Sus scrofa: one gene and its partners. The protein of the gene in region 1 binds, or shares a complex with, the protein of each later gene. Links are inferred from orthologs where the notes say so. Each region holds a gene or a part of one and is shown on either strand. Other genes may lie near its edges.

Region 1 (5,054 bases):
CTGCCACAGCCTGTTGGTGAAAAGGTTATGAGAGCCACTTCCCCACAGGCGGGGGGACTTCCCCCTCCCCACAGGCCGCCTCCCGCCCCCGCATGCTTCCTGGCATCTCACCTTGCAGCTCTGCACCAGCAGTGGCTGGGGGCCAGCTGTGGTCTTGGGGGTGGAGGCAGCATGTTGGGCGGCAGCGATGGTCTGTGTAGCCGAGGCTGCAGCCTGCTTGGCTGCGTGCTTTAAGGGCAGAATAGTGAGGACAAGGCCCAGACATTCCCATACCTGATCCTTGGCTTACCCTGCCCACGATATCCCCTAAGGAAATTTTCTTTTTTTTTTTTTTTGCTTTTTAGGGCTGCCCTCGCGGCACATGGAGATTCCCAAGCTAGGGGTCTAATCGGAGCTACAGCTGCCAGCCTACGCCAGAGCCACAGCGACACCAGATCTGAGCCATGTCTGCGACCTACACCACAGCTCACGGCAATGCCGGATCCTTAACCCACTGAGTGAGGCCAGGGGTTGAACCTGCAACCTCATGGTTCCTCATCAGATTCATTTCCGCTGCGCCATGACGGGAACTCCCTCCCCCAAGGAAATATTAACCCTTTCTCCACACATCCCTCCCAGGTTCATTCCTCCTACAGCACCTACACTAGCCTGTTTTCCAGCCTCACCTCCAGGCGCTGCACCAGCTTCTTCTTGATGGCATTCTGTGCAGCCACGTTGGTCGCCATGCGGAGACCTTCAGCTGCTTCGCGAAGGCGCTGCTGCTGCTCCTCACTGTCAGGATGGGCGGCTGCTCCCTGAGAGGTGGTGGGAGGGACAGTTACGCCCAGCATCTCTGTGGATCCTCAATAAGCTCTTCTCTGACCCCTCCAAACTCAAGTATATTTTCCTGAAATCATTTCTAACTATCCCCGCTGAAAGGTGGTTGAGATGGGCTGCCTCTGGTGGGCAGATGGGGAGCCTCGGGGGGACCCTGGCTTCCATCTGTGATGCTGAAAGCCCTTCCTCAGGTAGAACTGTTTGTGCTTCCCCGCTTTAGGGAAGGGGCCAGATTTCTTCCTCACTCCCCACAAAATACTACTGCAAACGGGGATGAGCAGGGCTCTCTGGAACAAGGAGGACACAGTTTAGAGCAGGGATCTCAAGGGTCCGATAGCAGGGGCCCTGGTTGTTCCTGCAAACTGAAGAGCCCCAGAGCCCAGGAATCTTTTGGCTTCTTCCTCATGGTCCTCTGCAACCTTGTGTCCCTGTGTCCGACTGCCTTGTCCTTCTCTGTGCGGCTAGCGCGGAGCCCCCAGGACTAATGCTCGTGTGCATTCACAGAAGCCCAGGAAGCAGAGGGATCCAGGAAGCAGGCAGGTGGTGGCAGCAAAGTAGGGGAAAGTAGGAAGTGCAGACCTTGGACTCAGAAGGAAAAGGGCACTGTTTCCCGTTCGTCAGTGAGGACTCTGGGCGTTACACTGGCTGGCAGCCTGGCGCCACCCGCCCGCTGCCTAGGGTGCATTTACTCCCTCAGTGCTCCCATATGTGCTGTCTTGTATCTTCTGCTTTTCCTGGGTCTCTCCCGTAAATGGGGGTGACCATCGGGACCTTTCTACTTCCCTCCGGGCCCCGGTCTGGGGTCTGCACAGAAGGCTCTCTACCTTGGCAGCCTCCACCATCTTGGCTGTGGCGTCGGCCAGGATCTTGGCGGCGCTTAATAGCTTGCGGGAATTCTCCAGATCGCTCTCCCCCTCGGCATCAGCCTTGATGGCATTGACCAGGTCAGAGGTGGCTTGGGCCAGGATGCGCGCCTGTCGCACCATCTCACCTGAGACACACAGGCAAAGTCAGAGAAGGGAGCAGAGACACTGAGAGGGTGTTAGAGAGAGGGACGTGGTGCAGATGAGGCCAGTGGGGCTCTTAGGGATAGTCAGGAGAGACAAAAAAGTTCTTGAAGTGACTTCCCTGGAGTTATGAGAGGATGAGGCTCTTGGTGAAGGATTTTGGGGGTGAAGGAGTGGCGTAAGGGCAGCTAACTCTTAATAAAGCCACTTTCTCTTTTTGTGTACACTGTGGTTTGTTATTTAAATGCACCAAGGAAGGCAGAGAGATTATATTCCTGTTTTACATATGGGGAACCAGCTGGAGGTTTCAGCTGTTCAACACCCAGCCTGCTGTGCTGAGTCAGGGGGAGGGGGGTGGATCTGCAAGGGAAATGTCCAAGGGGCCTGGGAACCTCGTTGGGCTCTCTGTCTCCTGGGGGAGAGTGTCCTTACCAGCATCGCCCATGGAGCTAAAGATGTTCTCAGTGACAGTGAGAATGGTGTCAGTGGCCTGGTCATAGCGGCCAGCAGGCCCGGCCCCTGTGGCGTGGGCCCTCACGTGCTGCAACAGCTCATTCAGGGCCTGGGTGACAGCTGTGGCTGCCGCTCCCACTCCTCGCAACAGCTGCCCATCTTCTGTGGCGGCCTGGGAGGCGGACACACAGCCCTCCACGGCTTTGGCCACTAGTCGACCGGCTTCCACCAGCTGTTCTTGGCAGACAGGGGAGCTGATCGTAGGTGCCACCACCTGTGGGCAAAGCGAGTGTCAGAGAGGTAGACGAGGGCAAGGAGTCGGGAGGGTGGGGTGTTGATGGCCTTCACAACAGTCATTTGTTTGGGTAGTGAGGCCTCGGGGACCAAAGTGATAACATGAGAGGCTCCCGTATGTGTGACAGCATCACCCCTCAGCACAGGCTGGAGCAACCTCTGGGGCTCACCTTGGTACAGGCCACCAGCTGGGAGGTGGACAGGGCACACTGTGTTGCCGCAGCAATAACCTGGGTCTGAAGCCCCGAGTCCTCTGTGCGCTGGGCCACACTCTTGGCCTTGAGGACCAGGGCAGCTGCAGCGCTTGCCACAGCCTTGGCTAGTTGCATGAGCACGTCCTGTGAGAAAGCAGCGGTCAGCACGGCCTGAGATCCACCTTGGGTTCCACAGACCCTCCTTGGAGGCATAAGCGGTTTCATTAATCCCACGGACTCCAATCACAGCACCGTATGTGCAGAAGCAACCGGAACCTACCCCAAGCCCCTGCCTCGAGCACCGAGTAGGACAGAACCCCCACCGAGGAACAAACCCACACCGAGAGAAACAGAGCCTACACCAAAGGAAGAGATGCATGAGGCGGATACACTCGGACGGCGATGGGGAGGGCAGGCGGGCAGTGCTGTTTCAACGGGACAGACGGAGGAGGGACCTCTGGGGTCCCCCCTGCCCCTAGCGTCTTTCCTCCGCTTCGTCTCAATCTTGGGTAGAAGCAGTCACCCCGGGGAGCAAGTCTCTACCCTCCCTGATCCCATTTTCTCAAGTCCTGCCTGTGCCGTGCCTCCCCAGCTCCCGTCACGGTCTGCTCCCCCAGGAGGCCTGGGGAGGGGGCAGAGCGAGTGTATGCGGCTCAGAGAGGACAGAGCTGGGAAGGTCCAGGCCAGAGGCCATTACCGTGGGGGGATCGGGGGGAGATCGAACCCCAGCCCCTCTGGGTGCACATATCTGCGTGGGAAATCCAGGATGACAAATCAGCTGAGGACACTGGCAGGGGGTGGGGAAGGGGGCACGAGAGGAACAGTGTCCTCAGGGCATGTGGCCTAACGGATTGGAAGAGGGGGTCCGAGATGCCTTCAGTTGGGCAAGACAGGGAAAGATGACAGGCGGCCAATAAAATATCACCAGTAAAGGCCAAGGGTGAACCTACAGATTAAGTTTGGATTTAGGGGTTCGGAATTCTTATCCCCCCAAAAGGGACGGGAGGTTCCCAGTGTCATCCCTGGAGACAGAGGTTCAGCTTGGCTCCGAGGGGTCAATTTATCGTAGCTGAGGACGAGCAGCTGGATTCAGGATCAGAGGTCACCTCCTAGAAACTGGGGTTCTGGGGGTTGGGTAAGTCACCAACCTGGAAGTGGGGGTCAGTATCACTTTCCCCAATTTGCTGCAACAGCTCCCCACTGGCCTGGCCCACGTTCCCAGCTGCTTGCAGCAGGTTCTGACGGGGCTGTGGAGAGTGAACACCAGTCAGAAGCTGCCCGATCCCCACCCACAGGTCCTCAGGTCCTACAGGCCCAGGGGTCTCGTACTTCCACCCCACAACCTGGACCGCCCTCCTCTCCTTGGGCTCAAACCCTCGCCTCTCCCTAGTGTCCACCCCTGGCCCTGACCTCAGCACTGGCCGGCTGGGCGGTGCGCAGCAGTTCCGACACTGCCCCAGCCAGGCCCTTCGCTGCCTGCAGCAGGGGCCGGCCACTGCCACCTTCATCCTCCAGCAGGGCGGCCAGCAGCTTCACGCCGCGGGACATCTCCGTCAGGTTGGAGGAGATTGTGGTGACTGCGCAGCCCACCGCAGTGTAGTCTGTCTCGGCGGGGTCCCCTGGGGAGTGGGGGAAGAGGAGCACGGGTGAGGGGCAGGGCAGGAGAGGCGACGGTCTAGGGAGGAGCACAGTCAGTTTCACACACACACACGTCCTGAGATAGACGCACACACAGTCCCTGCCATGAGTCATGCTGCAATCACACCTGAGCCACTCGCAGTCACACTTGCAGAGTCACTTAGACACACACACACACACACACACACACACACGTCCTGAGATAGACGCACACACAGTCCCTGCCATGAGTCATGCTGCAGTCACACCTGAGCCACTCGCAGTCACGCTTGCTCACGCTTGTGCATGCTCACGCACGCTCGCCCTCCCCTCCCCTCCCGCACGGCACACCAAGCTCCTGGCACCCGGCCTACCCGCTGTCAGGTTCACCACCGAGGCGGTGCCGGCTGTGATGGCGTCTACCTGGGAGTGGATTTCGTGCTTCGATTCGTCCATCTTGTTCTTACGCCAGGCTTTCGAGGCCTGAGAGAACGAAAAACCAGCCTCAGCATGGGCTCTGCTCCAGTCAACCCAACCCTGCTCCCTGGAGTCCCAGCTTCGGGACCGGCGGCCTGGCCTCCAGCCCATACTCACGGCATCCTGGCCCAGAGGGGGGAGGGTGTCAAAGTCGTCCAGGGTGGCCTGGGCAGCCTGCACAGCCTGCATGCTGGAG
Region 2 (5,054 bases), on another chromosome or scaffold:
AACCTAAGGTCGCCCAATCACAAGTAGTCAATCGCGACTAGGCTTTAAGCTCTAGTCAATCAAATAATTTCCTTTCTTGGCTTCTGTACCTTCTCTCTACAAGTCCTTCCCCTGGTTCTTGGCCGAGGAGTGCTGCTAACGACTTCTGGAAGGCAGCTATGCTAACCACTATACCACCAACGCTCGACTCCTAAAGAAACAACGCATTGGTTCAAAATGTCCCCTGGCACTTATTTTTCAGGTCTTAGGGATTCAGATGCACTCAGTATTTAGGAGTGCTTAGTTTTTATGCTTCTTTAAGTCTTTTGGGCCATTTGTCAGCATTTTTTCAAGGTTTATCATTTTATCTCTATATTGTTCTTAGCCAATTAGGCTTGCTTGGCATCTGTTCCTAAAGTTTTGGGGCTTGTGGTGAAGGACTGGGGAGTGAAGAGAGCGTAAACCAATGGCCTAAGGCCACGGCGGCCAGCCAGGAAGACCAGGACCTGTTCCAGCATCCATGCGTCCTAAGTGGGGTCAGGCCTCCGCCAGCTCTGACTCACACTGGGATGGTGGAAACAAACACAACACATCACAGGCTGAATACAGTGAACACCACCCTCGGCTGCGATTAGTGGCTTCAGAATTTTCCATCAAACCATAACCTTCCGCGAATGGCATTTCACTCACCATTTGCATTTCGATAAATCATTTTTCTGCAAGAATGAACCTTAGACTTCAGCTTTTCCACCCACAAGGAGTGGGGCAGACTCCATGCAACAAGCTCAATCATGACCACAAAGCTGAATCCAATGGTGGCAAGAAAATGCAGCGTTATAGAAAAGAAATTTAGAATAGAATACAACTATACAGGCAAAGTAAGCACAGGTGATTGAGCCCGGATTTTAAAATTTTTCATTATTTATTTATTATTATTATTTTTGCTTTTTTTTGGGGGGGGGGCTGCACCCATGGCATATGGAAGTTTCCCAGGCTGGGGGTCAAATCGGAGCTACAGCTGTCAGTCTAAACCACAGCCACAGAGACACGAGATCCGAGCTGTGTCTGTGACCTACACCACAGCTCACGGCAACACCGGATCCTTAGTCTGCTGAGTGAGGCCAGGGTTCGAACCTGTGTCCTCATGGATCCTAGTCAGGTTCGTTAATTGCTGAGCCATGAAGGGAACTCCTGAGCCTGGAGTTTTTTAAAATAACAAAATGTCAGAAACTGAGCAAGCAGCCAGAAAATATATTTTAAATAAATCTCATGCAGTCATGACTGCATGAACTCATGACTGGAAACATTCATTTTTGACCTGGTTTTTTTTCATTTTTTTAATTTTAACCAATATACTATTTCAAATCAATTTCTTTCCACCAGTTTATCTGAACGTGTTGTCACTCCCTGTCTTCCCGCCCCCATGGTCCAGCTGTACAACTACCCAGGACCTAAAGGAACTCCCCTCTTTCCTCTTGGACTCGGCACACACCCCCTCCTGGAAGGCTCGATTCCAATCCACTCTTCACCTAGTTAACTCTAACCAATTTCCTAGGTGAGTGCTAGGAGGTAACATTCTCCGACTAAACTTCGCTGCCCACCGTGCACAATTACCATTGGCTGGGGACAACCACGGGGCAAGTCTGGGACACCCTTGTATGCAGGGCTTGAGGAAGCTTTTTCAAATATGGAGAACAAGGCTTTTTCCTTTGTAGACTGTGTGTAGAGCCGTACATCTTCTGGGCACTCTCTTTACATATCCCAACATCAATAAGCACCAAATATGAACAACAAAGGAAAGGGTAGGTTTAAAATAAGAGTGTTAATGGCTCAGAGTGCATCAGCAGACATTGCAGCCAAACAGATATAAGGACAAGAGAGGAGGATCAGTCAACGGAGAGGTGGATTCTGGAAGCTGACTCAAAAGAGGTGAAATGATTCTCTCTCAAAGGGGTTCCTAGTTTGCCTCTGGCCTAAGAACTGAGTTTGTGTTTCTGTGAAAGGAATGTATTTGTGATATTTCGTGAGATGTGGTGAGGACACAGGTGACATTAAAAAAATGGATATTTTACATGTTTTAACAATATATGAGTTCTCTTACCTGGGGGTTTTTAAATACAGCATATTTTTCCTCTTTTTCCAAAAACAGCACTTTATTTTCTGTGTCTCTTGTCCAGTTTGATAAGACTTCAACAACATTTTCATGGTCTTCAAAAAACCTTTCTGATGAAACAAGAAAAAGCATTCTTTCAGACCCAAGACATCAGAGTTTCTAACAGAGAAATAAGCTGGTACTTAGCTAACACAAGGCTTCATACTTCTCCTGGGTTCTCAGAAATTCCTCAGTCTTACATGATGTTACATTGTAATGTTTCTCTTATGTTTATTCTTTGGTCTCAGGTCTTCAACTTATTTTCCATAGAAAACATGGCAGTTGAACCTACAATATACTGAAAATGGTCAGCCACTGCTCTTTTTTCCATATTAGAACTTTTTTTCTTTTTAAGGGCTGCACCTGCAGCATATGGAAGTGCCCAGGGTAGGGGGCGTATCAGAGCCACAACTGCCAGGCCTACCCCACAGCCATGGCCATGCCAGATCCTTAACCCACTGAGTGAGGCCAGGGATAGAGCCTGTGTCCTCATGGATACTAGTCAGGTTTGTTACTGCTGAGCCAGGAAGGGAACTCCATATTAGAACCTTTGACTATTTGAAATAGTCCCAGGTGGAGGTAACATTCTATCTGGAAGGCAGAGAGGCAATAATTAGTCAGATAACTATGAACGAAATTGCCAGATAAGTGATGAGTACTATAAATACCGATCCCTAAAACTCTAAAAAGAATGCACAACTGTTGGAATCAACGCTAAACCTTCCTTTAGAGGGCTTTCATTTCCGTTTGAGTCAGGGAGTTGAAAACGTCAAGAAGTGTTTCAGTGTAGACCATTTCCCCCACAGCTTTAAAAACTGGCAATTCTGTATCCAACAAGCTCCCCCGGTGGGGGGTGGGGGGTGGGGACAGATTTTTCTGTGAGTGGTATTAAGAACGAGCAGCAAGGAGTTCCACTGTGGCGCCATGGAAATGAATCCGACCAGTATCCATGAGGATGTGGGTTCGATCCCTGGCCTTGCTCAGTGGGTTAAGGATCTGGCATTGCCGTGAGCTGTGGTGTAGGTTGCAGATGTGGCTCGGATCCTGGGTTGCTGTGGCTGTGGCACAGCACACAGCATCTGTAGCACTGATTGGACTCCTGGCCTGGGAACTTCTCTATGCTGAGGGTGCAGCTCTAAAAAAAAAAAAGAATGAGCATTAAAACAGTATTTTTATAATTCATTTCTTTTCAGATATTCCTTTATTTCAAGGATTTTTGGGGGGTAACTTTTTCAAATTTTTTAATTAATTAATTTTGGCTGCATCCATGGCACATGGAAGTTCCTGGGCCAGGGACTGAATCCACGCTGCACCTGCAACCTACACCACAGCTGCAGCAATACCAGATCCTTAATCCACTGTGCCACAGTGGGAACTCCAATTTTTTATTTTGTTTATTGAAGTATTGCTGATTTACAATGTTTCAGGTGTATAGCAAAATGACTCAGTCATACATATATATGTACTTTTTCAGATTCTTCTCCATTATAGGTTATTATAAGATATGGAATACAGTTTCCTGTGCTATCTAGTAGGTCCTTGCTGTTCATCTATGTTATATATGGTAGTGTATATTTCTTAATTCCAAATTCCAAATTTAGTCTCCCCCCCTTTTCCCCTTTGGTAACTATAAGTTTGTTTTCTGTGTCTGTGAGTCTATTTCTGTTTAACTTTTTCTTTTAACTCCATCAATTTCTATCAACTGTCTTTTGTTTTATGGGGGCTGAGGCTTTTCCACTAGAAGGGATCAGAAATTGAGTGAGTGGGGAGAGGAAATGGACAGTGATATGACACCCATGGCAGACTGACCCTATAGTTTAAAAAAGCAAACTCTAAAGAGGCATTGGCTGACAGATACGCAGGCCCCCACCCATCTGCTCAGCTTGCTAAGCATGCAGTCAGAAGCATCATCCTGCCACTTTCTTTCCCTTTGCATCCACCAGGGCAGTTGCAGCAGTAACACTTACATTCCCCAAGGTCTGGCTGGCCACCTGTTCCAATCTGAGTCTCTTCACCACAAATGAAGAGACAAGCACTGAACCTGACATAAGGAAAGTGATTGTGTGGGCAATCTGGATAGCCTTGAACCAAACTCTTCTCAGGAACAGACCAAAACCCAGAGTAAAGTCACAGGTTTGTGCGGGGGTGGGGTGGGAGTGTGTGGGGGTGCAGCCTATCGCTGGGAATGGGACTTACCGATCTGTAGTTCTGGGTATATTTCATAAAGGCACCAATCCACGTTGCAGTCGCAGTGGGTTTTCTCAAAAAGGTTGTCTAGGACATCTCGGGCTAATTGCCGCTCATCCACCATCAGCGACTTTGTGCTGTTATCATTCATGTGTACCTTGACAACGAGCTGAGGGCAAAGTCATAGGGAAGCCAGTAAATGCCAGCAACTGGAAAGGCTATCCATGAAGGTTAAGCTTTCAAAAATGACACTGCCTTTGTGAATTTAAGTAAGAAGGTGTCCCGCAAACGCATCCAGTATGAATTCACTCATATGACAAGCACTTGTGTAAGGTGCTACGAATATGGATGTAGAGAAACCAATTTGCAAAAATGGAAATAAACACAGAGTAAGCAAAGCCCTTGTCTAGACTTCAAAGACTCTGTATTCTGGTGAGGGAGACAGAAAACCAAGAGAACCAAAGAAGTGCTGACTGCCTGCCTTCCTGACATCTTTCTAGCACTTGTTCGTCCCGCAGCCCAGAAGCAGCGTGTATCTTTATAATAAATACTTCGCTCTTGCTTAACTGCAGTTGAGTCCCATTTCATGTAACCCAGGAGTTCTGAGACACAGATAAAAGCAAACTAGTTAATCTACAATTCTTTGAAGGTGTGGGGGGGTACAGGGTGACACAGTGTCACCGAGGGGTCTTACTGAGAAGGCAGGTGGAGTCACAGAAGAACACACTGGATTATA
Region 3 (5,054 bases), on another chromosome or scaffold:
ACAAGGCTTCTAGGTGCAGCCTGGAGAATTAATGGCCTCACGCAGCCCCAGGCCTAGCCTGCCCAGTGCAGTTAGTGAGGTCGCAGGAGGCAGCAGCTGTCCTAAGTCACCCCAGGCCCAGACCCCCCAGGCCCAGGCCCTCCCACAGGCTCTGCAGCCACACTCCACACCCGAGCTCACCTGCATGCCCTGCCATCCCGCCGGGCCCTGCAACAACCCTACAAATGCCAAACGGCTCAGCTCTGGGCCAGCTCATGTGTCCCCTACCCCACCCCAGTCACGACGCTGCAACTGGTGGCCCAGTGTGGCAGCCAGGCCAGGGTCATGCCTTGGCCCCACCCTCAGCCAGCTGTGTACCCGGATGGCTGCCCAACCTGAGCCTCCTTTCCCAAGTGCATGTGTGGGGACGCCACCCTCCTCCAGAGGCCCCATGAGGACTGAACAGGGTACAGAAGTGGGGGGCCCAGCTGGGTCCCAGCACGGTCAGTCTGTGGCGATAAGGGGACAATCTGGATATCTGTTTACTGCAACAGTTTCCACCTGGGGAGACTCTGCTCCCAGGGGACACTGATAATGTCTGGGGGACCTCTGGGGTTGTCACAACTTGGGGGCTCCTGGCATCGAGTGGGTGGGGGCCAGGAATGCTGCTCTACCCCCCATGGCGCCTGGACTGCCCCCAGAAAGGGACTCATTCCTACAAGTGAGCAGCTGGGGAAGAGGGGGTACCCTGTACCCAGATGGGAACTCTGCAAGTCCCCAGAGCAGGACCAGGTCAGCTGGGTGGGTGGGGCTGGGGGACATGTGCCTCTCTGAACACTGTGCCCTGGTCACCCCTCAGAGCCACATTGTCATCATCATCTTTGGGAAAGGGACATTCTCAGCCCTGCCCCTAGGGGGCGCTGGGTTCACTATCCTGCCATGAAAAGGCTCCCTCACCAGGGCTGTTTCCACCTTTTCCCCAGCCCTCTTTCAACACCTCTCCAGTTCAGCTTCTGAAGGCGGTGCTTTAACCGATGCTGGGTCCCCAGGGAGGGAGGGCTATCTGTGTTTCCCACAGGGATGGTCAACGACCTTTTCCACTGAGTAATCCAGACGCCACGGTTAGAACTTCTGGCTGCAGCTGTGTGTCCCCCGTCCAACCCTTGGACCTGGAACGGGGCGGGGTGGGGGCTACTGTCTGGTTTACAACCAAGAACCCACTCGAGGGGCTCCGGGACTCGGTCTCGTCCCTCTCGCCTTCTCACCAACTCGCCCCTCCCTCTGTCGCCTGGCGAGGGAGCAAGGGCGGAGACGAGAGCGGGAAGTCTCCCGGTCCCCACCACCTACGTGTCGTCTGTCTCGATGGCCTCCCCACGTGCCGCCCCGCCCTGGATGGACTCCATGGCCGTGGAGTAGAGCGCCTTCTGGCCCAGCGGCCGCTTCTCATCGGCGGTGCTCTGGGCGCCTTCAGCCTGCCGCTCCCGCTCCTGCTGGTCGATGTTGTGCACGCCCAGAAGCAGGCTGTAGTCCATGATCTTGAAGCTCTCCAGCACCTACGGGGCAGCGGTCAGGGGGATGCTCTGACCCCACACCCCACCCCGGCCTGGCGCCAACCCCAAGCGCATTCCTGGTCTGTGTCTGCTCAGTCCCCACAGCCTCACCGGGAGGCCCCGTCCTGGTCTCAGACCAGGCAACCGAGAGGACACAGAGGGTCAGTGGAACCTGGTGGGTGGGCCTGGGGTGTGGCTTCTGACCCAAAGCCAGGCTGCCTCTGGGCTGGCCCTGCACACATACAACCCCCACCAGCCCTCCGGCCACCAAGCCTCTCCAAGCCCTGAGGTGCAGCCCAGACACACAGACACCGGAGCTCTGAGGAGGGACTCCAAGAAGCTGGGGGCCCCTGAGATGTCTGGGGAGTTTGTGTCAAGTTTCCAAAGGGGTCTGGGAGCCAGGGGTGCAGCACAGGACTGCACCCCTGGCCTCCTTCATTTCCTCACCTCTAAGGCCAAGGCGGGTAGGGGTGGACTGAGGTCGCAAGGCCTGTGACCAACCTGGCACACGCTCTTTTTCCCTAAAAAGCAGCTGGCCATGGAGGGGTGGCCTGCAGCCCGCTTGGGCCTGCGTCTGAGGTGCACTTTACATCAAGAGCCTGAAAACACTGGGCTGCTTCTGAGGCTCTGACGCCTGCAGCAGGAACTTGGCCTGCGGTGGGGCTGGGGCGGGGTGGGGGTTGTGGATCTCGGGCTCACACTGCACCAGCTTTTACTAGAGTCTCCCCCCACCTTTTATTTGGTCTTTTGTCTTTTTTTTTTTAGGGCCACACCCGTGGCATGTGGAGGTTCCCAGGCTAGGGGTCTAATCGGAGCTATAGCCACTGGCTTACGCCAGAGCCATGGCAACGCCAGACCCGAGATGCATCTGTGACCTACACCACAGCTCACGGCAATGCCGGATCCTTAACCCACTGAGCGAGGCCAGGGATCAAACCTGCAACCTCATGGTTCCTAGTCAGATACGTTTCCACTGTGCCACGATGGGAACTCCTAGAGTCCCCGTTTGACAGGTGGGAAAACTGTGACTCAGAGATGGAGGGACACATCCCCAGCGATCCAGCCTTCTCCTCACCAGGCAGTCGCGCTGCAGCGTCTTGACCAGGGCGGAGAAAGTGTCAGCGTCGAGCATGAGCCCCTCGGGCATATCCTGGATAAAGTCCAGGTCCTTGTAGGTGGGGATGCTCTTCTCCTTCTCCTTCTTGCTGGCCCGCCGCTTGTATGTGGAGCCCTTGAGGTCGAACTTGAGGTGCATCTTGACCACGCGTGGCAGCACGTTGTTCATCACCACCACGCGGATGTTCTTGCCACCCGACTGCACGCAGTACAGCCCGTAGAACTTGGGCAGCAGCGTCCTCGGGTTCTGGTTGAGGTTCTGGGGAGACAGGGCAGGGGGCAGAGGGTGGAGGAGATGACGCTGGGAGCCGCTCCTGCATCCTGTGCAGCACCCCGTCCGCCCCTCACGTCTCAAGAAGCACCCCCTAACCACCTCCCCCAGGCTGGCCCCTCTCAGTGCCCCGAGTGCCCCATCTGTCCGCAGGTTCTGTCTGCTGGCCGCACTCTCCATCTCCCCATCTGACTGGAGGCATCAGGAAGGTCTGTTTCTAAAGTCAGGCCTAAGGAGAGACGGCCTTTTGATAAAGGGCCCCACGGGACACTCCCAAGGTATCTGGGCTTGGCTTCCCAGCAGGTTGGACGCAGGTGTCCCATCTCCCTAGCCTGCTCTACAGGGACCGGAGAGGGAGGTACTGCATCCAGGCATATGCAGGGCATGCGTCAGCAAACTCTGGCCCAAGGGCCAAATCCAGGCCACTTGTCTTTCTACAGCTGGGAGTTAAGAAAGGTTTTATATTCTAAAAAAAAAAAAAAAAAAAAAATATATATATATATATATATATATATACATATACACACATATTTTTTTTTAAAAAAAGGCCAATAACACTGAAGAAAAATAGCGTCCTATGATGTGAAAATTATACAAAATGCTCACATCAGTGCCCACAAATACACTTTTATTGGCCCTCGGCCACACCCACTCACTCTCGCCTTGTCTGTGGCAGCTTCCCCACTGCGACGGCAGAGCAGTGGACACAGTCTCACAAAGCTCACAATGCTGAGGATGCTTCCTACCTGGATCTTTACGAAAGAAGTTTGCCGACCCTCAGTCTAGGACAGCCAGGGGTCCTACCTGGGATCACACATGGCAGGGGTAGGTGGAGACCCCACAGGAGATACGGGTGCAGAATGCTGGGGGCCGGACCCCATGCCCACCAGGCTAGGCTCAGTGGGAGGCCCCCACCCCATCCGTTGTATCAGCCCCCCACCGCTGGGGGCCAAGAAGTCTGAGGCCCCTGCTCCCGCCCCCGCCCAGGGCCCTAAGTGCAGAGTGCCCTTTCTGTTGGTGAGTCACATGCAGACAGGAGGTGCCAGCTGGCAGGCACCCCTGCCCACCTCCCCAGTGTCTCTCTGAGTCACCAGCTGCCAAGATATGAGTCCCAAAGCCATGATTTTGGGGACCCACAAGTCAAGGGACTGGGTGGTGATGGATGGCCACCAGGACCCAGATGGCTACTCCTGCTCACCATGGAGGGGGCCCCTTGGGTGAGGCTATGACCCAGGAAGGCATGTCTTGGCCTGCCCAGAGGGGGCGTTACCCAGAGGGGGTGTCACCCCGAGGGGGTGTCACCCAGAGGGGTTGGTGCCCAGAGTGGGTGGTGGCCCAGGCTGGCTGCCTGGGCAGAGGGAGAAGGGGTGTGAGACCTGTGGGGGGTCATGCCCCTACCATGTAGTATCCAGGCAGCAGCTTTTGCAGGAACTCAGCCTCCTTATGCATCACAGTCTTGATGATGAACTCATCGTCGCTGGTGACATAGAAGAGGGAGCCGCTGGCACCAGGGTTGGACAGCTCGATGAGTGGCTCATTGCACAGCGAGTACTGAAAACGGGGGCAGTGAGGAGGCGGGGTGGGTCATCGACACCCCCAGGGGCCCAGGGGATGGAGGACAACCCTGGAAGTGGTCACCGCGGCTCTGTTTTACAGATGAGGATGCTGAGGCTCATCGAGGGGGACAGACTTGTCCAAGGCCACACGCAAGGACTCAAACCCGGGCTAACCCTGCAGCCCGAGTGCCAACCTGCTAGATCGTGTTCCCTGTCCTGTGAGCTGTGACTGCCTCCCAGGCCCCTGCTCTGGCCAGTGAGTCATAAACACAAGCTGCTACTCGGGGTCTGGGGAAGGTTGCCTAAAGGGGTGGCAGAAGCTGGGGCGCCTCCTGTTTGCACCCCTCTCTCCTTCCCACCTGGAATGCTACCTGGGACCCAGCAACCATACTGGACCACATGGTGACCTTGGGGATGGAAGCCAGCCACCAGGAACAGCAAAGACACAAAGACACAAGCTGTGCATCTGGTGAGCTGCCTCCCCCAGACCCTCCCACCTCTCTTCCCACCTTCGCATCCCCAACACCCAGGTTCCACCTCCGTGTTTACTGCCCACCATTAGACAGCGATTTTGTTCACATT

The links.
Region 2: the proteins of TLN1 (region 1) and APBB1IP are in contact, whole or in part, in a crystal structure (PDB 4W8P), measured with the Mus musculus proteins. The link is inferred for Sus scrofa from reciprocal best matches to the Homo sapiens genes TLN1 and APBB1IP. Residues at the interface, in NP_035732.2 of Mus musculus: Leu1492, Ala1495, Thr1496, Val1498, Ala1499, Thr1502, Ser1503, Cys1506, Asn1507, Arg1510, Val1526, Ala1529, Lys1530, Ala1533, Asn1534, Thr1536, Ala1537, Val1540, Ile1543, Lys1544, Asp1547; in NP_062329.2 of Mus musculus: Asn5, Ile8, Asp9, Met11, Phe12, Thr14, Leu15, Glu18, Met19, Leu21, Leu22, Ser25.
Region 3: the proteins of TLN1 (region 1) and PIP5K1C are in contact, whole or in part, in a crystal structure (PDB 1Y19), measured with the Mus musculus proteins. The link is inferred for Sus scrofa from reciprocal best matches to the Homo sapiens genes TLN1 and PIP5K1C. Residues at the interface, in NP_035732.2 of Mus musculus: Pro209, Val210, Gln211, Leu212, Leu214; in NP_032870.2 of Mus musculus: Pro646, Leu647, His648, Tyr649, Ser650, Ala651.

Annotation. Positions count from the first base shown.
Region 1 is NC_010443.5:236,433,280-236,438,333, forward strand, and holds part of TLN1 (talin-1), read right to left. Parts: coding exon 4,756-5,054; intron 4,384-4,755; coding exon 4,175-4,383; intron 4,012-4,174; coding exon 3,913-4,011; intron 3,513-3,912; coding exon of another isoform or gene 3,462-3,512; intron 2,909-3,461; coding exon 2,741-2,908; intron 2,551-2,740; coding exon 2,256-2,550; intron 1,808-2,255; coding exon 1,641-1,807; intron 795-1,640; coding exon 666-794; intron 229-665; coding exon 112-228; intron 11-111; coding exon 1-10. UniProt on the Homo sapiens protein: High molecular weight cytoskeletal protein concentrated at regions of cell-matrix and cell-cell contacts. Involved in connections of major cytoskeletal structures to the plasma membrane.
Region 2 is NC_010452.4:49,168,892-49,173,945, forward strand, and holds part of APBB1IP (amyloid beta A4 precursor protein-binding family B member 1-interacting protein), read right to left. Parts: intron 4,488-5,054; coding exon 4,328-4,487; intron 2,203-4,327; coding exon 2,081-2,202; intron 1-2,080. UniProt on the Homo sapiens protein: Appears to function in the signal transduction from Ras activation to actin cytoskeletal remodeling. Suppresses insulin-induced promoter activities through AP1 and SRE. Mediates Rap1-induced adhesion.
Region 3 is NC_010444.4:75,018,221-75,023,274, reverse strand, and holds part of PIP5K1C (phosphatidylinositol 4-phosphate 5-kinase type-1 gamma), read right to left. Parts: intron 4,468-5,054; coding exon 4,315-4,467; intron 2,905-4,314; coding exon 2,605-2,904; intron 1,533-2,604; coding exon 1,327-1,532; intron 1-1,326. UniProt on the Homo sapiens protein: Catalyzes the phosphorylation of phosphatidylinositol 4-phosphate (PtdIns(4)P/PI4P) to form phosphatidylinositol 4,5-bisphosphate (PtdIns(4,5)P2/PIP2), a lipid second messenger that regulates several cellular processes such as signal transduction, vesicle trafficking, actin cytoskeleton dynamics, cell adhesion, and cell motility.